4 linked regions of the Arabidopsis thaliana genome follow. The protein of the gene in region 2 interacts with the protein of the main gene of each other region in a pairwise test. Each region holds a gene or a part of one and is shown on either strand. Other genes may lie near its edges.

Region 1 (9,564 bases), on a different chromosome or scaffold from region 2:
AGTAGCAAAATCAAGTTTAAGAGGGGGTGTTGAAAGTTAAACTTGATTTTGAATCAAGTTTAATTATTGGATCAATTATCCAATAATTAATTATGGCCAAATCCAAGTTCTAGAGTTTTCTCTAGAAATATCATCATTTCCACCTCCTTAAAAGATTCTAGAAATTTTCTAGAATCATCTTCCACCTCCTTAAACATAAAAATCTAGATACTCTAATAGAATAATCTAGATAATTTGAATAATGTAATCTAGATCTTATGTAAGAACTCTCTAGACTTAGGATTAAAATATTTTAGATATTTTGTAGTTTGGAGGCTATAAATACCTCCTCCCCCTCTCAAATGTTGCAATGTTGTGAAGTTGTATTCAAGTTTAAAGCAAAGTAATAAAAGTTCTATTTCCTAAAAAACTCTCTCAAAACACTTAAACACTTTCTCCATTACCTCTAAAAGAATTTTACTCTAACATACGATACGTATATATCAAAGCTAACCTAAGCCATCACATGTTCTTAGCTCCCTCGGGAAGACAACCTACATCACTCACACCAACCGGTAATCAAGATCTATGGCGACCATTTGATGAGTGCTTGAATTCATGGAGCTTTATCTTTGCAATGATGCGGTTACGTATGACTTTCTCAGATTTAACAGCTTCTTGGATGTTACTATGCACAAGATCGCAAAGCTCATCTAAGGCCAACATAGGAAATGGTTCTTCTATAAGAACACCCACCTGCAGAGTTTCCAATCCAAAAAGAAGGTTTAATGGTTAAGGATTCAAGCAAAAGAGGGTAAGTATGGAGGAGGAGGAGGACAAAGTACTTCTTCTATGCAGAACAGAGAGGCAGCACTAATGAAAGTAGCAGGAACAACAATCCAATGGCATTCATCCCAGAGAATGATTGGGAGAGTTAGATGCCAAAAGACTAAAAACCTCGAGGTTAAGCGTGTGTAAGAGAGAGGAATCGGAATGCCCATGAGTTGTTCACAAACTCCAATTCCTTCATGTAAATGCAGCATCTTTGATTCCTGCAATGACGCAAAGAACATATATTGGTGTCAAGTGTTCATAGCAAAGAATTTTAATAGAGAGTTCAAGGATTCAAGAATGCTACCAACAAATCTCTCTTTGCATCGTCTAGTTTTAGCAACTGAATGCTCTGAGAAATGAACTCGATTACACAACGCGGACGATGCTTTGCTTGAAGAATCAGAGATAAGTCATCTGCTTCTATCAAGTTCCGGAGATCTCTTGCTATATCTGAACCATAAATCACATGACACTGCAAATGAAATTAAAGCATCAGAAACCAACAATAGAGTCAAGCAAGAGATGAATATTTTTTACCTTAAGAGCAACAGGGAAAGCTGCAATGTAACGAAGAAGCAAATCTTTGATGATCAATTCATCACCGGAGCTATCAACGGAACAAATAACTTGCCTAGCTAAATCATTAGTTCCAGCAATAATCCCAACCCAAGCTTTCCTTCCTTCTTCATACCTAGAATACGAAGCCTCCGTACGAAAGACCAGAAGAAGAGCCAAAGCCGGAGCTGTGAGCTGATACGGCAACGACGAGGATCGAAGAATTGGAAAAATACCAGGAAGCCAATCCAAAGCCACGGCGGAGTTGTAGCTAGCGATCACAACCGCGACGCTTGTGAAGAAGAAAACAGGTGGAATCAGGGAGAGTATAACTCGTGAAGAAAAGCTCGAGAGTAGATGACGCACATGGCGAAGAGAGCTTCTATGTTCAACCCATTTCTCGTGTGTGTAGAGAGAGCGTTTCTGCTGCATCCCACGCTCTTTAATCTCGTCTGCCCAATCTGGAACAGCTCTGAGGAGATGGATAAGCTTATCGGTTAAGGTTTCGTGACCTGAATCGTTGGATTCAGGACCAGATGAGACACGGGGAGGTTTGAGATTGACGGATTTGCGGAATCCGGTGGAGAATATAGGAAATCGTGATTCGAGGAGTGATCGGTGAGTGAAATTGGAAGAAACTGATAGATTCATGGATTGATACATTGGCGGGAAAATAAGGGGTTTTAGGTTTAGGGTTTGATAGAGACGAAGATGAAGAAGAGAAATGGTGGTTGACACATGAGGCTGCGTAAGGGTAGCAAATCGGAGGACTTCGAGAGGTGAAAAAACAAGTGATAGGAAAAAGGTAGTTGAAACGGTTGTTCCAGGATTGTTTACGTTCCACATTCAAACGTCGTCGTTTTAGGACAACATTGGGCTTTGATATGTTAAATACTGGGCTTAATTATTCTAAACGACGTTCGTTCCACGACAACATTGGACTTGGATCTGTTAAATGTTATTTTGTTTGAATATACTGGGCCTAATTATCCCACCGACGATTCGACTTCGATGTGTTTTTGTTTGATGTGTTAGATACTGGGCCTAATTATTCCTATCCGGCCCATAGAAGATTATAGCAAACAATTAATGTTCTTGTTGATCTTCTTCACTTCACTTCACATGACATGAGTACTAAACGTTCAGATTCTGTATTGTTGATAAACTCTTGGGTCCTAATGATTATTGTTTGTAGAGAAAAATGAAGATTTAAAGTGAACAGAACAGAGACAAGAACAATATTTACTCCACAAAATGGGAATTTATATTCATGTTATATGTCTCTTAATGCCAATATATAATCATTAGTCTCAAGTATTTATGGTAAAATAGAGTCTAAAGATAGATTGGGGGATTCATAAATTTTGAAAGCTTATGATGAAGTGGAAGCCAGTGAGGAACAAAGAAAGTCTTGACTAGATCACATCACTATTCTCTCACTCTCGACATCAGAAGCGTGAGATTCACTCTCTCATTCCCAATGCTTCGTTTGATACACGCACCTAATCTATAGCGTTGAGAATGAGCCACACAAAGATGATGATGATGATGGATGGATGGATCCCTCCTACAAATTGCTAGATGCTAGAAAGAAGTCTATTAGAGAGATAGAGAGAGAGCTTATATCACAGTCAAAAGTCAGAGACTTCAAATTTAATTTCGAATTTTGAAATCCTGCCTCATCATCCCATTGTATTGTAATCCACAGTAAATGCTTGGAGAAAGGATCTTTTTTTGTTTGTTTCTGTTTTCCCTCTGTCACCCAGTAAAAGAAAAAAAGCAACATCACATACACTCTGAAGAAAGAAAGAGAGAGAACCCTAGAAAACTTTTTTTTTTCTTCACCATTGTTGATTGATGGATGAGAAAGCTTATTCACACTTCATTTCTTTGCTTTTGGTGAGAGAATGAAACAGAGAAGAAGAGATGAAGAAAATTAAAGTTCTTTCCTTTTCTCTTTTGGATCTAATTTCATCTTGAGATTTTCTCATAGCTTGATACTAAAGCTACATAAAAAACAATTAGGTGAAATGAAAGTTTGTGTGTTTTGATAAGTTTTCAGAGATTTTCGGTTGCATGTTGTTATCTTGCTCTTGAAGTCTATCGAACCCTTTTAGATTCTGATTTTGTTCTCTTCTTATCCCTCCTCCTATAAGTTAGCCATTTAGGGTCCCCATCGAATTTTACTAAGTTAAAGTCAGAGTCTTTTTGGTTAAGCTATGGATCGAAGAGACGCAATGGCGTTATCCGGGTCGGGTTCTTACTATATCCAAAGAGGAATCCCCGGTTCTGGTCCTCCTCCTCCTCAAACTCAACCAACGTTTCACGGATCACAAGGATTTCATCATTTCACCAATTCCATCTCTCCTTTTGGGTCAAACCCAAACCCAAATCCAAACCCTGGAGGTGTCTCTACTGGATTCGTGTCTCCTCCTTTACCCGTTGACTCTTCTCCGGCTGATTCGTCAGCGGCGGCGGCGGGAGCTTTGGTTGCTCCTCCTTCAGGTGACACGTCTGTGAAGCGGAAGAGAGGACGGCCTAGAAAATATGGACAAGATGGTGGTTCTGTTTCGTTGGCATTGTCTCCTTCTATCTCCAACGTTTCCCCGAACTCTAACAAACGTGGCCGTGGAAGACCTCCTGGCTCCGGCAAGAAGCAACGGCTATCTTCCATTGGTAATATCCCTAATCTCTAACTTATGAGTTTTATTTTCCGACAAGGACATTGGCTCTGAATATGGTGGGAAGTTTTGAGCTTAATTGATGATATAGTTTTTCAAATGAGGACATTGGTGGGAAGTTTATTATAAGCTAATTCGAACTGTTAAGGATTAATTAAAGCTGTGGAATTTTATAATGTCAAATTGTTGAATTCAATATTTATTCTTTTATTATTCCTTGGCCTTTCTCTTAAACTTTGTTATTGCTCTGTTTCTCCCTGATTACAATTAGCTGTGATTTTTCTGAAGACATTTGATTCTTTTTTGTAAGGTGAAATGATGCCTTCATCAACTGGGATGAGCTTCACACCGCATGTAATCGTAGTTTCCATTGGTGAAGTATGTTTCTTCTGTCTCCTCTTGAATAAATCTGTTCTTTTTTTTCTTTGTAATCTTGCCTCTAGTTCTTGAGATAACCATACTCTCGGTGTTGCTTTCAGGACATTGCTTCAAAGGTTATATCGTTCTCGCATCAAGGTCCACGAGCGATATGTGTCTTATCCGCAAGTGGTGCTGTCTCTACTGCAACTCTTCTTCAGCCAGCACCTTCTCATGGAACTATTATATACGAGGTTTTATTGAATCATCACTCACATTTTATTATCTTTTAGAAGACAAAAACATTACTTATTTTGGTGTATACTTTGAAACTTATAGGGTCTATTCGAGCTCATATCTCTCTCAACTTCTTATCTGAACACAACTGACAATGACTACCCAAACCGCACTGGAAGTCTAGCGGTCTCACTTGCTAGCCCCGATGGTCGTGTCATTGGTGGTGGAATTGGAGGTCCTCTAATAGCAGCAAGCCAAGTCCAGGTGAGCTTACGCTTGTTATCAAATTCCTTAGATGAATTTAGATTTCTTATGCTTAACTATGTGTGTTTGCCTCCTTAAAAGGTCATTGTTGGCAGCTTCATTTGGGCAATTCCGAAAGGGAAGATTAAAAAACGTGAAGAAACTTCTGAAGATGTCCAAGATACTGATGCTTTGGAAAACAACAACGATAACACAGCAGCAACGTCACCTCCTGTTCCTCAGCAAAGTCAGAACATTGTTCAGACTCCTGTAGGCATTTGGTCAACTGGTTCAAGGTCAATGGATATGCATCACCCCCATATGGACATTGATCTAATGCGTGGATGATTCATGTATATATAAGCATTGAATCTAGGAGAAGAAGAAGAAACTTGAGCTAACCTCCCTGAAACAAAGTAGTCTATTGGTATTGTTTAGGAAAGAAAAAGACAATTAGTAAGTTTAGGAATTTCTGCGTGTTTTCGAGCTTTCAGTTAGTTGATTTGGTCTCTTGACTTGTTATGAATGGGAAAAAAAATTGCTTGTTTCTTATACGTTTTAGCATTCTACAGCATACAATCTGTTTTAGCAGGAAGTCGTCGGAAGAAATTAATAGGTCCAGGAGGTGTCTTACCCCTGAATCTTGGAGGTCTCATGATGTATAGTCCGGCGAGAAGAACAAAAACCTTAAACGGCACAACATACAAAACGACAGTAGAAACCAAACAAAGCACCATGAAGATCGAAGTTGCTCTTGGATCTCTCCAGCTTAACAGAGCCTGAACTCGTTCTCCTTGACCTGCTATATCTCCCACAACCGTTTGAGCTCTACTAGCGATACTCCTTAACCGCTCGTACCGCATTTTTACAATCCCCGGGTCTTGAGACGAAAAAGGGAAGGTATCGAACTCTTCGTTAAGCTCTTCCGGGTGGATATTGTCTGCAAATGATAGTCTTGTGTCCATGTGTGGAGGTTGTCTTGGACGGAGCCTGTAGTTCCATACCCCAAGCATGAACAAGCAAAGAGACATCACTGGAAGAATCATCTCCGGCGAACACACTAACACCAAGAAGATTATATGAATAGCTGTAGTTTCTACCGGTTTCTTCCACCTGCAGATATCTTGAAACCATTCTCCGGTTCCTAGTAAACCAGAGAAAACAGAACTCAATCTGAAGAGATTTGCACGGCTCTTCCTCATGCTCCATAAATGCGAATTTGAATCCGAAATGTATTCAACTACTTCTTTTCTAAGTGGCGGCTCGGCTCTACTTAACCGAGCTGCCACTAAGTTAACCGCATGCTGCCTAAGAATCTCCTGCTGCACTACTTTCAACGGTCTTGCGTAATGCATCTTGGGAAGAAGCGGTTTCCAGTACTGCATTAGCATCTGAAACATCGATGAGCAGGAAAACCTAATCGCTAAATGCAACTCCCCCATTTTCTTTAAACCTGAAGGTCGAAGAACAAGAAGCGGATACGAGTGACTGTAGATCCTTCCGGCTTCGAGAGTCGAGATTCTAACTCTGATTTTCCCAATTTTCCCATCTCCTTTGTTACCATTACCACTATTGATCTGATTGTTATCGAAAACACCGATTGTTATTACAGTTGCTGGCTCATAAACCTCCCATGTGTACTGCTCATTGAACCGCGGGTTTAAACAGTTCGTAACGGTTCGAGTCCTGACCCATTTGGTTCCATACTTAGCTACACAATAAGCATCCACCGTCTCCTTCTTCCCTTCTTGGCTCAAATTCAAACCTTCAATTCTCAAGATTCCTAATTCAAGAACACCAAAAGACGGTTGTTTATGACTCAACAACTCTTTCATCGACGGTCTGAAATCGCTGCTGTAGTAAGTAGATTCATCAAGAACGTGGTAGCCTCCTTCTAGACAAACGTTTAGATGAAGTCTCGTCGTCGCGAATCTGACTCTTCTCTGGTTCTCAGTTTTAAGACTAAACCAACGGTTAGGCACTGTCCGGTTATCGTCAATCCGTTTATCAATTGTACCAATCGGTATATGTACCTCTCCCAGCGTTTCCTCTCGGTTAGGTGCGACTCGGTCTTCAATCGAGATGATCAGATCTTCAAACGGTTCAGCCGCGACGAGAGTGAACTCTTCGTTCCATCTTGGATTCAGCGAGTGACTCGGTTTGGTTCGAACCACTTGGTTATTCAACCGGATTTTTACATATGGATTTGGCAATCGAGTCCGGTCTGGTACAATAACTAAGTCTTGTGCCTCGATGACATTAACCCGGAGGTACCAAAGCCTTGGAGAATGATAGACTTTAGAACGCAAACTCGATTTGTTAACAGCGTTTAAAGCGTCTGAGTATGTCGCGTCTGAGAACGCTTCGTCGGCTTGAGTACCGAACCAAACAGCCAACATAATCTCGCCTCCTTTCTCGTTGTTGACTCTGTACCATTCTGGAGCTAAAGGACTGTCTGGTGCGACACGTGTCGGAATCTGATTGAGATCGAACCGGATTAAACCGACGAAATCGTCTTTGACCATGTCTTTGTCCATGACGATGACTTCAAGAACGTTTGATTGTTGATTGGATTTGGAGAAAGCGAAGACTTCGTTCCAAACCGGGTTTTGATTCTTCTCAAAATGTTTGGTTTTGCCGGTATAGTTTCCGAGTTTGACTTCGATGTATGGATCTAGACTTCCGGTTAAGTCCATGGATGGAAGATTTCTAGCTTTCACGATTTTGATGAAGAGAAACTCCATTGGCTCGACGAGATCATGATCACTTGATCTTGCTCGTTTGCCTCCTCCGAGAATCGGTTTCGTCTCTTTGATAGAATAATCCGGTGGATTCGGATTAAACCCCATAGTTGTAGGTATCGGAGTACCAAACCTCGGTGCTTGATAGAGAGAAGACTCCATCATCGGTGGCGGTAGAGCCGTTTGCGATTGAGGCGGAGGCGGTTGCGGTTGAAACGATTGCTGATTCCCTCGTGGGCTATGGTTACTCTCATTTGTGGGGATGTTGTGAAATTTGTGCCTTGATTTAGAAGGAATCTTCTTTGTAGAGATTAGATTCGGTACCTTGGGAGAGGGGTTATCAGTGAGGAAAACTTTGAGAGCGAGCTCACCTCCATTGGCGGCAGCGGAAGAGAACATGCTCCATTTCTCTTTCTCTAGAGGATAAGGCAATCCAACAGCTTCTGAGTACGGGAGAAACGCAGTTCCCAATATTCGAATCTTACCTAGACAAGATTTTGTTATGCTGCTGGTTTTATTGTAAACGTAAGCGTCAAGAAATTGATTTGATAAATCCTCTGTATCAGAGATGTTGAAGAAGAACTTCTCGTTCCACACCGGACTAGAGTCATCGATCTTAGTCATAGTTATGACTTTCTGATCGTCAAATCGTAGCTCGACGTAAGCGTTAACACCGCCATAGTCCTCTCTAGGTTTGAGCCTTGCGCTTATGACTTCAACGCCAAGTTTCAGATTACTCATCATTTTTACTTAAAAAATTTCTGAAGAAAACAGAGCAGAGGTTTTTGAAAGTTTCTTCTACACTTATGAGATCGTGGAGACTTGTCTTACAAGACAACTAGGCAAATGTTTTTTTGGGGGAATTTTGTAATGTAATTAAACGTTGACCGTATTTAATTAGGGTCACGCAACGCGCTTATCTGTTATTAATCGTGACGCCAATCATCAGAATTCTTTTGATTATGAATTTATATGATATTAAATAAAAACATTATTTGTCAACAAGTAAGATTGGGGATAATGCAAGGGCTTATTAGGTACATTGTCGTATTTAAATCCAAAATTAGTAAAATTGCGTGGTAGGGTTTTCAGAAAATGTCATGTATGTTATCAGAAAAAAAAAAAGACATGAAATTTGTTAAAACCTCAAGCAAAAAAAATCTATCTATCGAATTCGCTTGGTAGGTTTTTTCTCACAACTATCTATCGAAAATTATTTTGCAGATAAATAAATTGAATACCTTCCACAAATTGGCTATTTACTGTAAATATATATATATATATATATATATATATATTTTGGGCAAATGCCTAATTTTACAATGTAAACTCGTAATTTTTGGGGTCAATTATGCAATGCTTCTTTAACTTGTAACTAATTTATTTCATTTACATTAGCACCAACGAACCAAGGTTCCAATTATTTTCCCTGCATTGTTTAAATGATAAATTGATAATATTTATGTGAAAATCGGACGTCTAACCAATAATGATAGTTAACAGAAAAGAATTAATGATATCATATTCATTTGTTAAAAAAACAAACAAAGTTGGTGCTTATATGACGACTGACATAAAGTTTTAAACATTTAATATTGTTATACCACTTGCATTACTCCCGGGTGAATTGTACTTACTTTCTTTGTTGAAATGTCTTGTTTTGGGCCTCCCAATACTCATTGGTCCACTTCTCAACCTTTCTCTCCGCACTTTCTTGTTTCTCAAGAAACCTCTTCAGCTCATCATCTCTATAAGGCCGCGGCAAATCACAAGCCGATTTAACGCTTGGAGACATAACCAATGAGTCGTCCATGCACTGCCTGATCAGGCCACCGTCAGTGATCGGACAAGCCATCGTCTCCGAACACACTTCGGTTGCATTTTCAGGCACAGTCACATCCAACTTCATTAGTTTCCCGTACCCTTGCAACACATAC
Region 2 (5,548 bases):
ATCCATACTACTAGCCTTTGTGGTTGCATTGTCGGTTTCTTCAATTCTTATTTCACAGGAGTAAAAAAAATGTTTAAAAGTACAAAATCATTGAATGTATCATTCTCTCAAAAAGCATATTGGTATTAGCGTTTAGAATCTCTATATCCCACACTTTTATTTTTATTGGTTTTGTTGGGGAGAGTGTGGCGCAAAGACGACGTCGTCTATGCGAACATTTCACGTGGGAAAAGCCTTGATTCATGCGCCTTCTTTAATTTTTCTTCTTTTTTTTTTTTTTTTTTTGTCTCTTCTTTGCCTTTCACTTTTTAAAATGATTTTCCGCGGGTTTAATAACAAAAATGTTTTCCCGCCAGAAAGGTTTTACCAAAAAACCATGTTCCGGTTATAGCACAGGTAAGAGAATTCATCAGTCTAGTATAATTAGCAGTAATCAAATTCGAATACTTTGATCGTCGCTTTTATTTCAGAGTTAGCGTTACATTAATAGTACCTTTATTCGATTGATGATTTGTTTAATCTTTAATAGGGTTTGAACTCCGATGGAGGACCTTTTTTGTTGGTAATATTCCCTTCGTTTCACAATATAAGTTGTTTTAACTAAAAATACGTATATTAAGAATATTTATTTTTAAAATGTTCAACCAATTATAAAAAAAACTGTAGAATATAAATAATCATAAAGTATTAAAATAATATATAATTTGCATAGAAACTTGAAAACAACTTATATTATAAAACAAAAAATTTGGTATAAAACAACTTATATTATGAAACGGAGGGAGTATAAACTTAAGTACTAATTCGATTTTGTTTCTATTCGAGACCTTGAAGACTTTTTTATTTAATTTTAAAACTAAGTCGTACAGTTACAGAAACAGCATTAAATTTTTCCTCTTAAGTAAATTTATTTTTTCTCTTTCTATCAGAAATTCAGAAGAACTAACATTATAGTTGCCCCCATTGCGTACACTGTACATCATTTCTCGGTAAATTACACATAATTATAAGTTGATTAACCTTTTAAGTTTTAAACAATGATGTAAGTAACTTATTAAAAATTGGTTTTTAAAAATTGAAAGTTATATACTCAAGTTGGAAAAATATTTTACAAATATACTCGATTCCACTACTACTGTAATTTTGTGTGGAATACCAGTCAAACAGAATCGTTATAACTGTTAAAAATTAGTAAAACTGTATAAAGTAATTTTAATTCGCGGGAAATCAATATTCGGAAGCAACTTTAACAAAAAAAATAAAGAAATGTGAAGAGAAAAAAAAAACTCTGAAAACTTCCTTTATAATGTCATCATCACTGCGAGACCCAAAGATCTAAACAGTTTCTCTCTCTCCCTCACAGGGCTCTCTCATGGCGGAGCTAATCTGTCTATTTCACTGGTGATTCTGTTTCACTATCTGAGAATTTGTTTAGAGTTTCCGTTACCGAGTCGATGATGAGTGAACTCGATCTCGGAACGAGTCAGAGGATGACGGAAACACACCGCACGACGACGACGTTTCTTGATTTGCTCCGACGACAGATGAGCGGTCACGATCTCACCAGAAGGAAACGGACGTTAAAAGAACGGTTGAGATTCAAATGCATCGGATGCTGTGGTCCAACCTGGAATCTCCGTCTAACTAACAACACCACTCTTCACAGTCCAACCTCAAGAGACGACGAAATCGAAGAGTTACAAATTGAAACCGGACTCGTTCTCGAATCGGATCATGGATCGGGTACGGGTATGAATCTCGCGACAGCGTTAGAAGCGGAGAGGTATAACCGTGGAGAATCGACGGAGGCGGAGGCAGATATGACGCCGAGGAGAGTTTCGTTGATGAGATTGTTGGAAGAGACGGCGGAGAAAATCGTTGATGACGACGGGAAAGAAACGGAGATATTAACGGCGTCTATTGGGACGTTAACGGGTAATGATTCGGTGTGTTGCGTGTGTATGGGAAGAAAGAAAGGCGCTGCGTTTATTCCATGTGGTCATACTTTTTGCAGAGTGTGCTCTAGAGAATTGTGGCTGAACCGTGGATCGTGTCCTCTTTGTAACCGTCCGATCATTGAGATACTCGATATTTTCTGAAAACGATCGGACGGCTAAAAGTTCTCGATCCACGTGAGTAAGTGAGGTGATCCCTAGATACGTTTCCAAAGTTTTAACTACGGTTTGTGTACTTTGTACGTTTCTTTTGGTTATTGAAGAAGATGATGTAAATGCAAAAAAGAATACAAGAGGTTTTTTGTTCACGAGGCCCATTTAGTCTATTCAAGCCCAGTAAACCGTTATTTTGGATTTTATCTAGCCTAAACAATGCTCGCCTCACACCGTCGAGTGGATTCTTGGCCGTTGATCTTGTCTCTCACGTGGCAGTATCGTAGTCGAATGTACATGATCTATGTGGAATAGTCGATATTATCCCTCTTGGTGTGAGTTTGGTAGTTGATGAAAGCAAAACATTTACGTAACAATGTCTATAAAATCAGTACAGGTCTATTCTTGTTCACTAGCTTCGAAATTTTAGTCGAAGAAACAAAAAAAAATGGCGACGGTACAATTGTCCACCCAATTTAGCTGCCAAACCAGAGTTTCAATCTCACCGAACTCTAAATCTATCTCCAAGCCTCCGTTTCTGGTACCGGTGACCTCAATTATTCACCGCCCGATGATCTCCACCGGAGGAATCGCTGTTTCCCCCCGTAGAGTTTTCAAAGTCCGAGCCACAGATACGGGAGAGATAGGATCAGCTCTATTGGCGGCGGAGGAAGCAATTGAAGACGTGGAAGAGACGGAGCGGCTAAAGAGATCGCTCGTGGATTCGTTGTACGGAACAGATCGAGGTTTAAGCGCATCGAGCGAAACCAGAGCTGAAATCGGAGATCTAATCACACAGCTCGAGTCTAAGAACCCTACTCCAGCTCCGACGGAAGCTCTTTTCCTTCTCAACGGCAAATGGATCCTCGCGTAAGTTTTTTTCCGGTGAAAACTTTCTCTTGTAGTCCTGTAGATAGCATCATTCGTAGGATTCTGGATTCAAATGGTAGATCTCGTGCTGCTTTTGATTTGGTTAAACCTCTTTTGCAGCTACACATCGTTCGTGAATTTGTTCCCGTTGCTATCACGAGGAATCGTACCGTTAATAAAAGTCGATGAGATCTCTCAAACCATTGATTCAGATAACTTCACCGTCCAGAACTCTGTTCGTTTCGCTGGTCCTTTAGGTACAAACTCGATTAGCACCAACGCTAAATTCGAAATCCGAAGCCCTAAACGCGTCCAGGTAAATTGACCATTCATCGACCATGATCTGATATCAACATCTTGAAACGTTTTCAGTAATGTTTTGGATTTCATTTTTCTTGCAGATTAAGTTTGAGCAAGGCGTAATTGGGACGCCTCAGCTAACGGATTCTATTGAGATACCGGAATATGTAGAGGTTCTTGGTCAAAAGATTGATCTTAACCCGATCAGAGGGTTACTTACCTCGGTGCAAGACACAGCCTCGTCTGTGGCTAGAACCATATCAAGCCAACCACCGTTGAAATTCTCTTTGCCGGCGGACAATGCGCAGTCTTGGCTACTCACGACTTATCTAGACAAAGACATTCGGATCTCTAGAGGAGACGGTGGAAGTGTCTTTGTGCTTATCAAAGAAGGAAGCCCTCTCTTGAATCCTTGAACTTGGTCAAAATATATGTCTCTCTCTTGTCGTTGTGTTAAGTGAGACAAATATATAGTGTGGTTGTAGGTTTACTTCTTAATCGTTGTTATTAACTCGATGATAAGGAATATAATGTTTTTAACTACTACAGAACATCTCGTCTATGGCCTATGAAATGTGTCTCAGATTTTCACAAAATTCAAGTGTTTTAGAATTTCATTCTCTTCTGTTTGATTTAGAAAGTAAACTATGTACCGATGCAAGAGTTACATGAGAATTATCCCGGCAACGTCGGGTCTTTCGATAAGAATCGAGATGATGACTGTCATTTTGTTGTCTAATTGGTTCACTCTGTGCTTGATGCCTATCATTTTTTTTTTGAGGGACTCAGTCACTGGAAATGGTTCTATTAGTATGGTATGGGATACTTGTTAGTATAGTACTCGAGGTTTCTAGCATATGCCATAGAGTTTCTCAATATCTGAAGCCCTATTTTGAATGTGTTTGTTCTTTCTGTAATTTATTTAGAGACCATCAGGTAAAGGAAAAACTCAATTCAGACAAGAACATAAGAAACCTAAATTGACCAAATTTCTCATATAACTGAAAGTTTGAAACTGTGTTTTGTTATGTACAGTTTGGTGGAGGGTTTGATGCGGAGAGCATGAATCAGAGCCAAAACTGAAAGTGGAGGAGACAATAATAATGATAACAATGAAGAATAATCTGTAAACTGAGTTTTATTACTTTCTTTTTCTTCTATGTCTCTCTTTATCATTGTAGCACATATTTGCTATATAGGATTTGAATGGTTGCAACGGTTAAGGCGGACAAATTCGTTTGCGGTTTGAACTGTTTTTTATTTATCATTCATATTTGTATAGGTGCGAATTTAAAAAAGAAAAAAAAAACCACTGCAGATTAACTACGGACTGTTTTTACATACAAATATAATTAGTTCGTAACGGTTTATTGCCCATTTTAAAAATAGAGCGGACTAAATCGCTGACGTATTTGTCCGCTCTAACTACCGTTAGTAATAATATAGTTTGTTGTCAAAAATACATTCTTTTGTTTAGGTTTGCAGATGATTTTTTTTATTTTCTATTACTATATTTTAGTCTTTTAGATGATAAATTCGCAATAAATTTGTAATCTGCCAAACTACTGAAAAAAGAGAAAATAATTGTGGTTTGTCTTAAAAGTCACTTGTTTTAAGACATATCATGTGCAGCCATGCAAAGTGTATCTCCCGAATCTTCTTCACTCATTAATGTTTTACAGTATTTTTATAAATTTTATCATGTTAAGTACAAAATAAAAATAAGAATGGTCCATTAGAATTACAGCATATAACAACAAGGACTAGTTCTCTTTTGTAATTTTGTAATTTTATGCAAACGTATAAAAGAAAAATAATCGTGTTTTATTTTTGGAAAGGAATTAAGTATTTCTGCCACCACCTAACAAACAGGGTCCATTTCTTGGGTCTAAAACTTTTCACGGTCAAACAAGATATACATTGATTACTATTATTGTATTCGTATTATCTAAAACACTATCATAATAATAGTAACTTTCATCATCCGACCTTCTTCGTATAATAATTTAAATAAATTTATGGATCTAAGACTAAGATGACAACCACTAAAAAAAGCAACTATAGTCCATATATATCAGACTACTTTTGGCATTTTATCAGTATATGACACCTAAAAATTACAAAAATTATAACGAACACAAACGTAACACAATACATGTCTACATCATTACGTATTTGTGTTTGAATTTTTTTTTATAAAAAAAAAACTGAAAAAGTTTAAAGTGAAGGAACAAAGAAACAAAACAACGACACAATTTAGACAGCTAGTT
Region 3 (7,234 bases), on a different chromosome or scaffold from region 2:
CAAAAATCTAGTGAGACATATTTGTGGATGTAGATTATCCTAAGATATATATAATCTATATCTCTAACTCTAATAGAATGTATATTGATTGCATACCCTACTTTTTAACCCATTGATTAAGCCATTTATCAATGAGAAAAAGAGATTCTCATGTGATGCAGTGATGCTAACAAAAAGTTTACATACTAATTTATACTAAAAAATTATGACGCTAATATAAGTTTATGTACTAAATTATACCGAAATATTATGTATAATAAATTATTAGAATGCAGGAAATAAAAGAATCACTGACAACTTAACAAGTAACAACAGCTCCAATATGCCACGATTATGTAATTCGTGTGTCATATATATGTTTCTTCTCGTTAAAGTTAAAGATATATAGGTGTGACCTCAGGTCTCAAAAGTGAAGCCCAGCTTCTAATATAAATATTTCTAGTTTATTTTCTTCGTTTTGAAAAAAGAAAACACATATTCATAATATATTGAAAATAATATCGTTTTATAACATAAGTAAACAATCAACAAGCAATTGTTGGCCGTAAAAGATTTATCGATGGGGTTGTTGAAACCTTTTTTAATTCATAAACTTGTAAAGGTTTAATATGGCAAAGTTGGTGAAACCCAAGTGGGACTATCTAACATTGCACCTAAGCATGCTGAATTGATCCTTTCTACATTTCTTTTCATCTGTCTTGACTCTTGATTAACGTTTGAAAATCTTTTTTTAACTTTGTTGTCAAATATGATTAGCGACTTTATTTTTACCTTTTTTTTTTATCATGACCTATATCTCGTTCTAAATTACACCTTTAATTAGCAAAATGGTAGGAATATGCGAAAAAATACATAACTAAAAAATGGCAAATTTCTTTCTACCAGTTTCATGCCATATCGAAAAGAGAATGGCATGTTTGTCTAAATTCACCTATCAGATCAATTGTTTCTCAAACCTTTACGTACAATTTGTTTTCCTAACGTTAACATAGCTAGCATGCGCAGTGCGCACGATGATCTGAGAAAACAAAAAAGATTTGGTGGGATTTTAACTTTGATTAATGGATAAGATATATCGTTCAATTTTATAAAATAAAATTATAAGAAATTCAACCATTTGTAGCATATGATTAACGTATATGGAAATCTCTAAAATGGAAGAACTAATTAAGGGGTTCGATTTCAAATTTTCGGTAGTGCTTTTCTCTTACCACCAGGTTTAGGTTCGCTTTTGTTTCAAACCAAAACAACTCATTTTATCTTGAAAAGAATTAACATTTTTCTACAATTCTTTTTCTAAGTCTATAGTTGATAGTTTTTTTTCACCACAGACCAACCCAAAGAGTACCAAAGTACGATAGGAAAAATAAAGTCATAGTTAATTACTTAGATTGGTAAGAATATTTCCAAACCTAAACAAATCAAACCGAGACCAAACCAGTGAAAATGGATTATAAAAATATTTGTACTATTGACTTTATTTCTTGTTGACAAAATTGACTTCATATTAACTTAGAAGATGCACGTGTTACATGTTCACGTTAGTATTGAAGGTTCTACGTCTTTGCAAAATGTGAATAAAGTAACCAAGTCCCACTAATACGGCACGTGAACCTTGTTATTTTCAATTATCTCGTTTGCTTCTCTTTTGGCTACAAGAGTCTCTGATGGTAAGCTTCGTTTCGTAATACGTAAAAAGGTAAAATTGTATTACCATTTGTGGGGGTTTTTGTTTGTTGGTCAAGGAAAATTGTGGTTTTTATGTTTTAGTTTTTTGTCCTCACCACAAATGATAATATTTTTATACTGAGTGGTACTTTATCGAAAAATGATAATAGACATGTTCGTTTCCATCAACCACAATTAAATGTTGTTTATATGTGTCGATAAATTGTACGAGTCTGTGACCAAAATTTTCATGTCAACCCATTTAAAATCTGACAACATATAACAAGAAGTACAAAACGAACAAAACTAATATGCAAGATCAGCTTTTGGTTGCAATCGACAATAAATGCCAAACGAATATGTTTAATTGCGTTTGATAAATGATCGTACAAATTCAGAAAGGGGTGATCTAACCAAAATTCAAGAAACAAAACATACAATATTACAACAAAATTTACCTGAATCTTTAACAAGTGTTCAGAATTTAGTTTTAAATCTTGATGAGATTATGAAACTATGAACATTTCGGAATAATTCCAGTTAAAAATCATATATAAAGGCAAACAAAAATTCACGATTTTCCCCAAATGTTTTCCGAATTCGTGCAAAATTGTGCTATTTCCTTTTAATAACATAGTATCATTGTATTTTTTTTAATAACATAACATATGATAAATAACATTATTTGTTTGTTTCACCTTAATTTGGTATAGTTTTTTGGGAGTCTCCATGTACTTTCCCTCGGCCCTTGCCAGTGTTTTGTATTTCAAAGTGAATTATATCAGTGAGAAGTGAAAACCAAATCATTAGTGAACAAAAAAAAGAAAGATAAAAAAACTTGATTAAGCATGATAAAAATTGGGTCTATTGGGCCTGCCTTTACGGCCCAAATAAAACCCACGATAAAATCGAACTTCCCGCTAAATGAAAAAATAAGAATCACTTCTTATTTCTAAAAACATAAAACAAAAAATAAAATAAAATGATTTCTCTACCACTCACTACACCGATTTTACCCAGCCGGTGTCTTCTCCACAAAACCCGCCGGCAAAACTCGACTCGCCGCCGCTTATTGATTCGATCATCATCGAGCTTACAAGACCAATTCACCGTGGAGACGACGAAGCGAGTGGTTCTTGTGAGACATGGACAGAGCACGTGGAACGAAGAAGGGAGGATTCAAGGAAGCTCCGATTTCTCCGTTTTGACGAAGAAAGGCGAGTCTCAGGCTGAAATTTCTCGTCAGATGCTTATCGACGACTCCTTCGATGTCTGCTTCACCAGGTCCTGCATTTTCTTATTATATCTATTGAATCGGTATTTGAAATCTAGTCACTTGGATTTGGATTTTACATCGAATTGATGAAATTGACTATGAAGAATCAGAGATACAGATTATGATAGTAATCACTGCAATTTTTTTGTTCTTGTTCTTTGTGATGGAGATTTTTGTTGTTAAAGCCTTTTTGTAAATTTGGCTGCATTTGTTGTTGTTATACATTGTGATCATCAGTCCATTGAAGAGATCAAAGAAAACAGCTGAAATCATATGGGGAAGTAGAGAAAGTGAGATGATTTTCGATTACGATCTCAGAGAAATCGATCTCTACTCTTTTCAAGTAAGTGTAGCTGTGATAGGGAGATATAGATTCACATAGAACAGTTATCGTAGTTGTTCTTAACTCTTGTTCTAGTTGATGGTTATATACTAGGGTCTACTTAAGAAAGAAGGGAAAGAGAAGTTTGGGGAAGCTTTTAAGCAATGGCAAGAAGATCCGGCGAACTTTATCATCGATGGTCATTATCCCGTAAGAGAGTTATGGTCACGTGCTAGAAGCTGTTGGCCTGGTATTCTTGCTCATGAGAGCAAGTCTGTTCTCGTTGTTGCTCATAATGCTGTTAATCAGGCTCTTCTGGCAACAGCAATTGGTAACTTGTTCTTTTTTCTTCTTTTAGCGACTAGCCGATTTTTCATTTCTCTGTTAAGTTTTTTTTAAGTCTGTGGTTTTTGGTTGATATGTTAGGACTGGGAACAGAATATTTTAGGAGTTTGTTGCAGAGCAATTGTGGTGTAAGTGTATTGGACTTCATACCAAGAGCTGACGGTGGATCTCCTCACGTATGTCTTAATCGACTAAATCAGGTAAGCTGACCTTCTTTTTTTGATGAAACACGAAAGTCATAAGTCATAAGCATGTTAGTTATATGAACTTTTTTTTTGTTGTTGCAAGATTCTTGAGTTGGGTGTAAAATGTTAGAGGTAGTCAAAATTCTGCTTACTGTCTTTGTAGTACTAATGCAGACACCTAATTCGCCTCTAGCTGGTGGAAGTTCTGGTGGCCGGAAAGCTAGTAAGCAGATTATACTTGTCTGCCATGGTCAGGGGAATAATGAGGTATAGTTGTATGAATCCCTTACATGGTTCTCTTAATTAATCTTTATTTGCCAGAATTAACCTCCATGGATGCGCTTGGAAGGTGTTTAGCTCTTTACACAAATTTCTGACCTAAGAAAAGTTTGGAGGCTTTAGGTCAAATTTTACCTGATTTTCTTTGTTTTTCAACATCTCAGGATTCTGCTGTTATTAACCAAGCAGCTAATAATGATCAGGCAATGAACATGCTTGGTGTGATACATGTAACATTAACATATGACTTTTGTGAAGGACAATTGTAAAAAAGTTCTTAATCCTGCATTTAGTTTACTCTTCAAATATACTTGTTGATTATTGCAGTCACAGAAAACCGCAGAGCTTCTACTTGATCTAAGGGTTAGTTCAATAGTTTGCAGCCCTAAAACAGCCTCCATTGAGTCTTCTGGAGTAATATCCCGGGTAAGTTATATAACTCTCTATATACTAGCTTCATTTTTCTTAAAAAACTGAAGACTTTAAGAAATCTATTTCTTCGGAATCTTGTTTTTTTTTCTCTTAACAGTTTAAAGACTTGATAGGTGCAAGAAGCTGCGGGTTGTTTAGGTGTAGATAATGTGCCTCACTACGTGAAAACGAAACAAATGAATGAGCTTGATGTTGAGAGTGTTCTTCGCAAATCCAATAAGGCAAGATAACTTATCCCGATGCAATCAATAGTAAAGTGAACACTGTTTTGATATTTTTGGTCCATCAATTCTGCAGGACAATGATGTGATTGCAAGTCAATTAGACGAAGAAGCGTTTTCAGCTCTGTGGAACAGATCCGAGAAAGCATGGGAATCACTCTTAGACGAACTATCGGATGAGAAGTCAAACCCTGGAGAAATCATGGTGGTGGTTGGTCCTGCAATGACTCACATTTCACTCATAGCACAATGCCTTAACCTCACTAAAGAAGCGCTCGGGTTGTTTCACCTAGACGCAGGTAGCATCAGTGTCATAGATTTCCCGGATGGTCCTAGTAGCAAAGGAGTAATCCGTTGCACAAACTACACCGCTCATCTTGGAAGATGGTCCATCCCTATCACAAAACCCGCCTGAAGAATCTTGTCTTAAACCCCGATAAAGTTACGGTAATGTTATTTTTAGCAATTTTTTGCATAAGATATAGTTTGGAATTCAACAAAACCATACAAAGACATCATAACAGAATTCCACAAAATCAAAATGCAAGTTCAATCTCTAGGAATGCTAATATCGGTCTGATCGTAGCTAGATAGCCCCACCTAAAAGTCTTTCTAACAGTCAACAACGTATACGATTTGACAGTTAGACGGCCTTGGGAATGCAAGGAGATCCCTTAATAAGTGAACCAAACTTCGTTTCTGCATGTAATCGCTCAAATGAACAACAAGTTTCTTGAGAACTACCGAGTTCTCTACAAAGTACCTTTTGCCACTTCATCAGGCCTCCCCTTGAATCTGCTTTTTATCTCTACAAACTCGAGGGATGACAACTAACATTGAGGCACAGACGAGAAACTTATTGGAGCCATACGTGGAAAATCCTACAAAGGAGTAACACCGCTCATCTTGGAAGATGGTCCATCCCCATCACAAGACCTGCCTGAAGAATCTTTTCCTAAATCCCGGCAAAATTACGGTAATGTATAGCAATTTTTTGCATGAAAAATAGTTTGGAATTCAACATCATCATCTGACCCTGAGAGCTTTGTCCAAAGTATATATAAATACAAAGACATGATAACAGAATTCAACAAAATCAAAATCCAAGTCCAATCTCTAGGAGTGCTAGTCTCGGTCATAGCACCACCTAAAAGTCTTTCTAACAGTCACTCAAATGCACAACAAGTTTCTTGAGAACTACCGAGTTCTCTACAAAGTACCTTGCCACTTTAACTCACAATGGCACCATAATAGGATTCAGCAACATCAAAATAGTCTAAGAAAACACGGCCGGTTATTTTGTTTTTGCGAAAACAAAGAGCATGGCCGTTTAGCGCATTAAAGACTTCGATCTGACACATGCTAGATCGCCTCGGCAATTCAAGGATATCCTTCAAGACAGCTTGATTTCCTCGTCTTAGAAAGGAAGATGCCAAACGCAGAACAACTTTCTGTAGATTCACAGAGTTCTCTACAAAGTACCTTGCAACTTCCAATGCACCATCATCTACCGAGATTCTGTTTTTTATCTCTACAAACTCCAGCGATGACAACAAACACTCAGGCACAGACGAGACTCTCCTTTCTACCGTAGCTTTCGTACGATCAACTATACAAGTTGTTTCCTACAATATACATAAGATGAATATAATATAAACTAGATATATAACAAGATCATTTCTCTAACTACAAGATTAATTTGGAAGTTGGTGCAAGTCATTACCAAGACGATGGATTTTAGATTCGGACAGCTTTCAAGAAGCTTTGGCAGGATGTCCAGGAAGTCAAAGGATGATAACCAAACACTTGCTTTCAAATAGGACAAGTTGCCAAACTGTGGCAATGAATCTTCTTTCAAGTAGGAACTGATGACCTGCTTGCAAAAAAAGAAACGAAGAGAAGACAATGGGTTAGCAAAAGTTCTATATAGGATTATATATACAATATGAAGTTCATAAAAACATACCTCCATCATATCTTCAGAGACGATGAGATACCTAACTCTTGAGATGCCCGTGAGAAACTTATGGGCCATTTGTTGCTCCGTACAGCCCACTACCCTTGAAATCTTTATGGGGCCAAGAATAGTGACCTTAACTAAGGAACCTAAATTGCTTATGGTTTTACTTTTCGATTGGTCATTGTTGAAAGTCAAATACTTGAGTCTAGGGGCATCAATCACAAGTCCCGAGTTCCCTCTATCTCTATCATAATAATAATATATCTCACCAGGATAATATGATTTATATCCTACACTTAGACTGGTTAATGATTGAGAATGCACTCGTAAAAACCTTACGTTATCATCTATCTTAACAATGGTCAAATCTTCGAGAACGCGGCAAGACGAGATAAGCGACTCCAGACTCGCCTCATTAGAATATACATTTTCTTCTAAACACATGCTCTTGAGACTAGGTAAAGAATCAACAGACTGATCAAAGTTACCCAACAATACCCGATAGAGTCTCAAGTGAAGGAGCGTCTTACAGATATAGAGGCTTAG
Region 4 (6,838 bases), on a different chromosome or scaffold from region 2:
ATTTTTTTTCGTTTAAGTATCTAAGGTAAGAAAAAATCAAAGGCTATAGAATTAAAGTTCTGTTGGAGCATATTTAGCTCCTCTTTGTTCATGCAAAAGACAAATTAAACAGCCTTCTCTTTTTATCTTTTGATTTTCGTTTGTTCTTTTCTTATATAAATGTGGTGAGAAGAAAATGCCAATTTGTTTTCAAAGAAAATGAATACCGCAGTATTGTATATATGTAGATTTTTAGACAAACCCATCTCAACAAGAATTATAATTAAAGGGATAATTTTCTTCTTTCAACAAATAAGAAAAATAAATTAAACCCAGTGTTTTTGTTTCATTTTTTCCCTTTGAAACAAAATATTCATTGTGGAATCAAAAACCTTGAAATTCAAGAGTTCCACATTTGAACAAAAGAAAGAAAAAAGCCATCGACTTTACCCATATATATGCCATAAGATCAACCACAGTTTCTTTCCATTAATTTGGAAGAAACTATTCCTTCGAGTTTCTTCAAATTTGTATTATTAGTTTTTTTTTTTGTATTGTACAATTTGATAAAAACATGATCTCCTGGCTCGATATCTACCATGTTGTTTCAGCAACTGTTCCTCTCTATGTCTCAATGACATTAGGTTTCCTCTCTGCAAGACATCTAAAGCTCTTCTCACCCGAACAATGCGCAGGCATCAACAAATTCGTGGCCAAATTCTCCATCCCTTTGCTTTCTTTTCAAATAATCTCTGAAAACAACCCCTTCAAGATGAGCCCTAAACTCATTCTCTCTGATATTCTCCAGAAATTCTTAGTCGTTGTTGTATTAGCCATGGTTTTAAGATTCTGGCATCCAACAGGAGGAAGAGGAGGAAAATTGGGTTGGGTCATAACCGGATTATCTATATCGGTGTTGCCAAATACTCTCATTCTTGGAATGCCAATCTTGAGTGCCATCTATGGAGATGAAGCTGCGAGCATCTTGGAGCAGATTGTTGTCTTGCAAAGCTTGATTTGGTACACCATCTTGCTCTTTTTGTTCGAGCTTAACGCCGCAAGGGCGTTACCATCTTCTGGAGCTTCCCTAGAACATACAGGTAACTAAAAATCATTCCGTTTTTTCGATAAAAAATGATTTACCCTAATTAAATCTTGGTTTCTTGTAAAACAAGGCAATGACCAGGAAGAGGCTAATATAGAGGACGAGCCAAAAGAAGAAGAGGACGAAGAAGAAGTAGCAATAGTGAGAACAAGATCTGTTGGAACTATGAAGATTCTATTGAAGGCTTGGAGAAAGCTTATAATCAATCCAAATACATACGCAACATTGATCGGAATCATTTGGGCTACTTTACATTTCAGGTGTGAAAACAAAACTCTCTTATATTTAACACTGCAATCATATCTTTTGTGATAAATCATCTTACACATCTAAAGATTCAATCTTTATCATCTTACATATTCAAACACTTCCTTTTCTCTTTTTCAAAAAGAAAAGCGATAATTTAGTAGTGAGTTTCCCCTATTTTAAGCTTTCTGTTTGATCATTTTTCGCATCTACAAATTCATTTTTTTTAATATTTTAAAATCGAAAAGTGATAGTCAAGTGATATTCCCAACTATTAAGATTAGCTTCTTTTTTTAATAGTTTGTATCAAATGTTACTCATGTTTTTATTTATTTTCTCCAATAGATTGGGATGGAATTTGCCTGAGATGATTGATAAATCAATACATTTATTATCTGATGGAGGCTTAGGAATGGCCATGTTCAGCTTAGGTAAGCTATATATCTATACAAAAAAAAAAAAAAAACTAAACTTTCATGATTGGAAATTAAATTTAATTTAACAAAAAATGAAACAGGTCTGTTCATGGCATCACAAAGTAGTATCATAGCATGTGGTACAAAAATGGCGATTATAACAATGCTGCTCAAGTTCGTATTAGGACCTGCTCTTATGATTGCTTCTGCGTATTGCATCAGATTAAAAAGTACTCTCTTCAAAGTAGCAATATTACAGGTGAAAATATTAAAATTAATAATCCGTTAATAATAAAATCTGTCATATATATGTTTTTGTCGATTGATTTATTGTGTTGTAGGCAGCATTGCCTCAAGGAGTAGTGCCATTTGTTTTTGCAAAAGAGTATAATCTTCACCCGGAGATCATTAGTACTGGGTAAATAAATATATTTCTTGATTTGATTTTTTTTTTTCCTTCTTCTTATTACAATTTTTTTGAAATTTATTTTTGTGGTTTTTATTGTTTTGCTTTTTCAGGGTGATATTTGGAATGCTAATTGCCTTACCAACAACTTTGGCATATTATTTTCTATTGGACCTATGAATATGACATGTTCAAAAAAAAAACATGTTTTATACGTAGGCTCTTAATTTTGGATTTTATATGGTATTTAATTTAGTCATAGTTTTTTAGATGTTGAAATTATAAAGCTAATAATGTCAACCATTCTCTTTAATTATTGTAAATCATTTTTCTCCTGATATTAAATTAGAAAAAAACATGTCAACTAGTAAAATCAAAATTTTGACTTATTCTTTTTAAAAAATAGGATAATAGATACTATATAGGAGTAAATATAAAAGAACACCATTTAAGAAAATTTAAATATCACATTAATAAGAACAATTCAGATGGTTAACTCTAAGAAAATAAATAGACATTGTCAAAGACTCAACAACAAAAAAAAAATTATATAAAAATAAATAAATTTTGGGGATGAAGAAAACTAGAGAGTACACGGCCTGCTTTGCTTGCCACGCAATGAAAAATGGAAAAAAGCCATAAAAAAATAAAATAAGAATACGAAAATCAAATAAAAAACATAAAAAAAATGCCTTGGAGAGAGGGGAATATATAATCAACGGTTGATAAAGAGGGACACCGACTCATGTCATATTAATCTAACGGCTGAGATATTTTTACTTGATAAGCAGGGAAATACAATATTATAATATAAATTAATTTAGGGTTACCCTTTCTTCTTCCCCTTATATACACAAACACCACACCTCATTTTCTCCAGAATCCTCCATTACTCTTCTTCTCGACTTCGGAATCTTTCAAAGCTTCTTCGATTTTTCCAGAGGCAATCATGGTTAAAGGTCCAGGACTCTACACTGAAATCGGCAAAAAGGCCAGAGGTACGATCTCTCTCTCTTTCTCTATGGTGACGCGAATGTGACTGTTGTTGACATTTCGTAAACATTTGAGCTCTTTTCTGATCTGGGTTTAGGTTGATATTCATTGAATCGGTTAGGGTTTCTCATTCCTGGTTTTATTCCGATTTCTATCGGTCACGCTTAGGTCGTTGAAATTTGAATAGATGCATAAAAAGTTAAATATTCGTGTTTTGTGAGCTGATTGATAATATCTGTGTTCGTTTCCGTCAGATTTATGCTATCCGTTTCGTTTATCTGTATAGATAGAATAACAAGACTGGTTCTCTGGGTTTCAATTTTTGGGTCACTCGTTGATTAGCTGGTTTTGAAATTTTTTATCTTGGATCTGGAAAATGTCTATCAAGGATACAGAGTAGTTGTCTCGTGTTGAACTTTTCTATTTGAGTTGAATCTGAAGGTTTTTGAATGCTATTGTAGATCTTCTGTACAGGGATTACCAAGGAGACCAGAAATTCAGTGTCACCACTTACTCTTCAACTGGTGTTGTAAGTTTTTATTATTGTTTTTATTTCTGTCAATTCTCTATTTTGTTGGTGCGATGGGTTTATTGTTAGTGATAAAATTGAGATTTGTCTAGTTTTCTGTTATGTCAAATTTGGTTGTACAGTTTGTTTTCATGTGTACTCTCACTTGACTCTTTCTTGTGTCGAATGGTGATAAATTTGTAGGCGATCACTACAACGGGAACAAACAAAGGAAGCTTGTTTTTGGGTGATGTTGCTACCCAAGTGAAGAACAACAACTTCACTGCTGATGTCAAAGTTTCCACTGATTCTTCTGTAAGTAGACTTTTTAGCTTTAGCTGTTTCTAGTAGATATATGATGTTGCCGATTGCTGCTGGAGTATTCAATTGATTTTTTTTTGTGTGTGAATAATTTCAGCTTTTGACCACTCTTACCTTTGATGAGCCTGCCCCTGGACTGAAAGTTATTGTTCAGGCTAAGTTGCCCGATCACAAATCTGGAAAGGTATATAACTCCACCAGCTTTCTTTTCTTTCTGTTCCGTTTTTTTAAAGGTTGGTATGTTGGAGATAACCATTATTTGTTGTTTTCTGAGCAGGCTGAGGTTCAGTATTTCCATGACTATGCTGGTATCTCTACCAGCGTTGGATTCACAGCTACCCCGATTGTCAACTTCTCCGGTGTGGTTGGAACCAATGGTTTGTCTCTTGGTACTGATGTGGCCTATAACACCGAATCTGGCAACTTCAAACATTTCAATGCTGGTTTCAACTTCACCAAGGATGATTTGACTGCTTCCCTCATTCTGTAAGTGCCTCCCTCCATATGAAATGATGACTTGAGATTTTAATGCTGCTGGTTTTAAAAGAGTTGTTTCTTAAACTGTTTTTTTTCAGGAATGACAAAGGTGAGAAATTGAATGCATCCTACTACCAGATTGTGAGCCCGTCGACTGTGGTTGGAGCTGAGATTAGCCACAACTTCACGACCAAAGAGAACGCCATCACTGTCGGAACTCAACACGCGCTTGACCCATTGACCACAGTGAAGGCAAGAGTGAACAATGCTGGTGTGGCTAACGCTCTGATCCAACATGAGTGGCGTCCAAAGTCGTTCTTCACCGTTTCTGGAGAGGTTGATTCTAAGGCGATCGATAAGAGTGCCAAGGTTGGGATTGCTCTCGCTCTCAAGCCCTGAGAAGATACCACCAAATGGGCCCTGAAGTGGGTAGAATAGGTGTTATTTCTTTTTCGTCTTCAAATCTTTGGACAAATCGCTGTCTGGTTTGCTAAACAATCTTTCATTTGTTTTTTTTGTTCGGTGTTGGGATTTGTAGAAAATAAAAGAGAAAAATACTATTGAAAGGATCGTCTTTGACGATAAAGAACCATTAAGATCGTTTTACTTGGCTCTCTCTCTTTTATTTTCCGCCTCTGCTACAATACTCTGTTCCATATCTTTTACTTGGTTCTCTCTTTTATTTTCTGCCTCTGCTATACTTTGTTCCATTTGGAGTTCCCTTAGTGGATTTTTCTATGAGGTTCTTCTTACATGTCTAATTAATTTTGTCTAGTTGGTCAGATTTTTATCTGAGGTTTAGCCAACAAGATAGGTACACCTTCAATAGCACCTGTACTGATTCTTACATAGAACCAAAAAGTCATCAGTTTTATTATTCTTCAAACCAAAGAACCAAAAGCAAGAGAAGTAGAACCTATTCCGATTAGAGCTTTGGACTGTATCGTGTTCATCAAAACCCCTTCTTTTCGAGCCAACACATCGATCATCTCGAAACCAACCTGAAAACAACACAAAGTTGTAGCATTGCCGAGATCAAATCCAGCAAATCAGTAAAAGAAAAAGATTGTGTCTTGTTCCATGATACTTGTTTCCTGGATTGCCCAACCCAACGATAAGCCAAGGAGTGTACTCTACTTTGAATCTATCATTCTGACCACCAGAAGTAGATGAACAAACACGATACCTCTGTTTCCGGGATACTGGCTTTTGCGTTTGAAAATGGTAGATACTTGGTGTTTTCAATTTATAAAGAGCATCAAAAATGTTTTCAATTTATAACTTTTCTATGCTTTCAGCAATGGAAGACAAAATCAGTTTTTTTTTTTTCCATTTGGATTTACCCTTCTCCATCGTACATTATTAATCAATTAAAGAGTTACCCTAACGTTGTTTAAAAATATCTCCTTGTTGCTTAAAAACGACGATAAAAGCTTGAGCCTTCTAGCTCTGTTCGTTTGTGGCCTATTTCCACCACGTAAGAGCTATGTAGTTGCTCCTTTAGGCTTTGGCGAAGGAATCTGATGTCGATAAGGCGAAGAACCATGAGGACTAGACAGTGTTCGAAACACGGGTTGGTGTTGCCCGTTTCTTGATCCAAATCCTTGGGATCGACCTGACCCATTTTTCAAACGTTCAGCTTGCATTGTCTGGAAGTAGTAAGAAGAGCTTGCCATGTCTTTCAGATGCGGAAGTGGTTTAAGTGCTTCCACAACATCACTCATCTTTGGCCTAATCTTGGGGTCACGGCTAAGACATTGTGCAGCAAGCTGAGTCACTTTTTGAGCACCTTTGATTGAAAAATGGCCCTCAAGCCTCGGATCAAGTAACCGGTAAAACCTTCTCTTGTCAAGAAGATGCGGTCTTGCCCATTCCACTAAGTTGTGCTCACCATTTGGGCGGTTTTTGTCCATAGATCGTCGTCCAGTCAACATTTCAAGTAGAACCACCCCAAAACTATAAACATCGCTCTTTGATGTCAAGTGACCTTAACAAGTTCAACAGGAAGCAAATCAACAAAGATGTAAACATTGAATGTTTTCAAGTTGAAGAAAATGGATGAAACCAAAGAGGACTCACCGGTCATTACATATTCGGGAGCAGCATAGCCATATGTACCCATAACCCTAGTAGAAACATGGGTTTTGCCTTCATCAGGAGCATCTTTGGCAAGTCCAAAATCTGATAGTTTTGCATTGTAGTCCTGACAATGGGATTTATTGGTTAAAAAATTTGCAAATATAAGATGTTGATCCTAAAGAGTAAGAGATACGTACTGCATCAAGTAAAATGTTTGATGTTTTGAAATCTCGATATATAACAGGCTTCAAAGCTTCTTCATGGAGGAAACTGAGACCTTTTGCAGCACCTAATGCAATCTTCATCCG

The links.
Region 1: the proteins of AT4G22240 (region 2) and AT3G61310 interact in a two-hybrid assay, tested with the Arabidopsis thaliana proteins (one large-scale study listed by BioGRID).
Region 3: the proteins of AT4G22240 (region 2) and AT5G22620 interact in a two-hybrid assay, tested with the Arabidopsis thaliana proteins (one large-scale study listed by BioGRID).
Region 4: the proteins of AT4G22240 (region 2) and VDAC3 interact in a two-hybrid assay, tested with the Arabidopsis thaliana proteins (one large-scale study listed by BioGRID).

The regions. Positions count from the first base shown.
Region 1 is NC_003074.8:22,686,469-22,696,032, reverse strand, and holds AT3G61310 (AT hook motif DNA-binding family protein), read left to right. Parts: upstream 1-2,882; 5' UTR 2,883-3,587; coding exon 3,588-4,044; intron 4,045-4,359; coding exon 4,360-4,427; intron 4,428-4,528; coding exon 4,529-4,660; intron 4,661-4,745; coding exon 4,746-4,907; intron 4,908-4,988; coding exon 4,989-5,234; 3' UTR 5,235-5,452; coding exon of another isoform or gene 5,453-8,371; 3' UTR 8,372-8,423; downstream 8,424-9,564. Other genes in the region: AT3G61320 (Bestrophin-like protein), read right to left, coding at 559-735, 825-1,031, 1,118-1,285, 1,351-2,214; AT3G61300 (C2 calcium/lipid-binding plant phosphoribosyltransferase family protein), read right to left, coding at 5,453-8,371; AT3G61290 (O-glucosyltransferase rumi-like protein (DUF821)), read right to left, coding at 9,261-9,564. UniProt on the Arabidopsis thaliana protein: Transcription factor that specifically binds AT-rich DNA sequences related to the nuclear matrix attachment regions (MARs).
Region 2 is NC_003075.7:11,764,236-11,769,783, reverse strand, and holds AT4G22240 (Plastid-lipid associated protein PAP / fibrillin family protein), read left to right. Parts: upstream 1-2,361; 5' UTR 2,362-2,556; coding exon 2,557-2,978; intron 2,979-3,098; coding exon 3,099-3,294; intron 3,295-3,379; coding exon 3,380-3,694; 3' UTR 3,695-3,981; downstream 3,982-5,548. Other genes in the region: AT4G22250 (RING/U-box superfamily protein), read left to right, coding at 1,455-2,099. UniProt on the Arabidopsis thaliana protein: Probably involved in light/cold stress-related jasmonate (JA) biosynthesis.
Region 3 is NC_003076.8:7,515,640-7,522,873, reverse strand, and holds AT5G22620 (phosphoglycerate/bisphosphoglycerate mutase family protein), read left to right. Parts: upstream 1-2,592; 5' UTR 2,593-2,650; coding exon 2,651-2,952; intron 2,953-3,181; coding exon 3,182-3,287; intron 3,288-3,380; coding exon 3,381-3,597; intron 3,598-3,692; coding exon 3,693-3,811; intron 3,812-3,970; coding exon 3,971-4,063; intron 4,064-4,239; coding exon 4,240-4,305; intron 4,306-4,402; coding exon 4,403-4,501; intron 4,502-4,620; coding exon 4,621-4,728; intron 4,729-4,804; coding exon 4,805-5,143; 3' UTR 5,144-5,175; exon of another isoform or gene 5,176-5,371; 3' UTR 5,372-5,645; downstream 5,646-7,234. Other genes in the region: AT5G22610 (F-box/RNI-like/FBD-like domains-containing protein), read right to left, coding at 5,958-6,353, 6,452-6,601, 6,695-7,234. UniProt on the Arabidopsis thaliana protein: Phosphoglycerate mutase-like protein lacking PGM activity, but having 2-carboxy-D-arabinitol 1-phosphate (CA1P) phosphatase activity.
Region 4 is NC_003076.8:4,887,653-4,894,490, reverse strand, and holds VDAC3 (voltage dependent anion channel 3), read left to right. Parts: upstream 1-2,887; 5' UTR 2,888-3,101; coding exon 3,102-3,150; intron 3,151-3,606; coding exon 3,607-3,674; intron 3,675-3,857; coding exon 3,858-3,968; intron 3,969-4,071; coding exon 4,072-4,158; intron 4,159-4,251; coding exon 4,252-4,460; intron 4,461-4,549; coding exon 4,550-4,850; 3' UTR 4,851-4,968; exon of another isoform or gene 4,969-5,198; intron 5,199-5,320; 3' UTR 5,321-5,527; downstream 5,528-6,838. Other genes in the region: PIN8 (Auxin efflux carrier family protein), read left to right, coding at 554-1,079, 1,155-1,344, 1,676-1,761, 1,848-2,005, 2,088-2,164, 2,266-2,332; AT5G15080 (Protein kinase superfamily protein), read right to left, coding at 5,936-6,438, 6,531-6,654, 6,728-6,838. UniProt on the Arabidopsis thaliana protein: Forms a channel through the mitochondrial outer membrane that allows diffusion of small hydrophilic molecules. The channel adopts an open conformation at low or zero membrane potential and a closed conformation at potentials above 30-40 mV.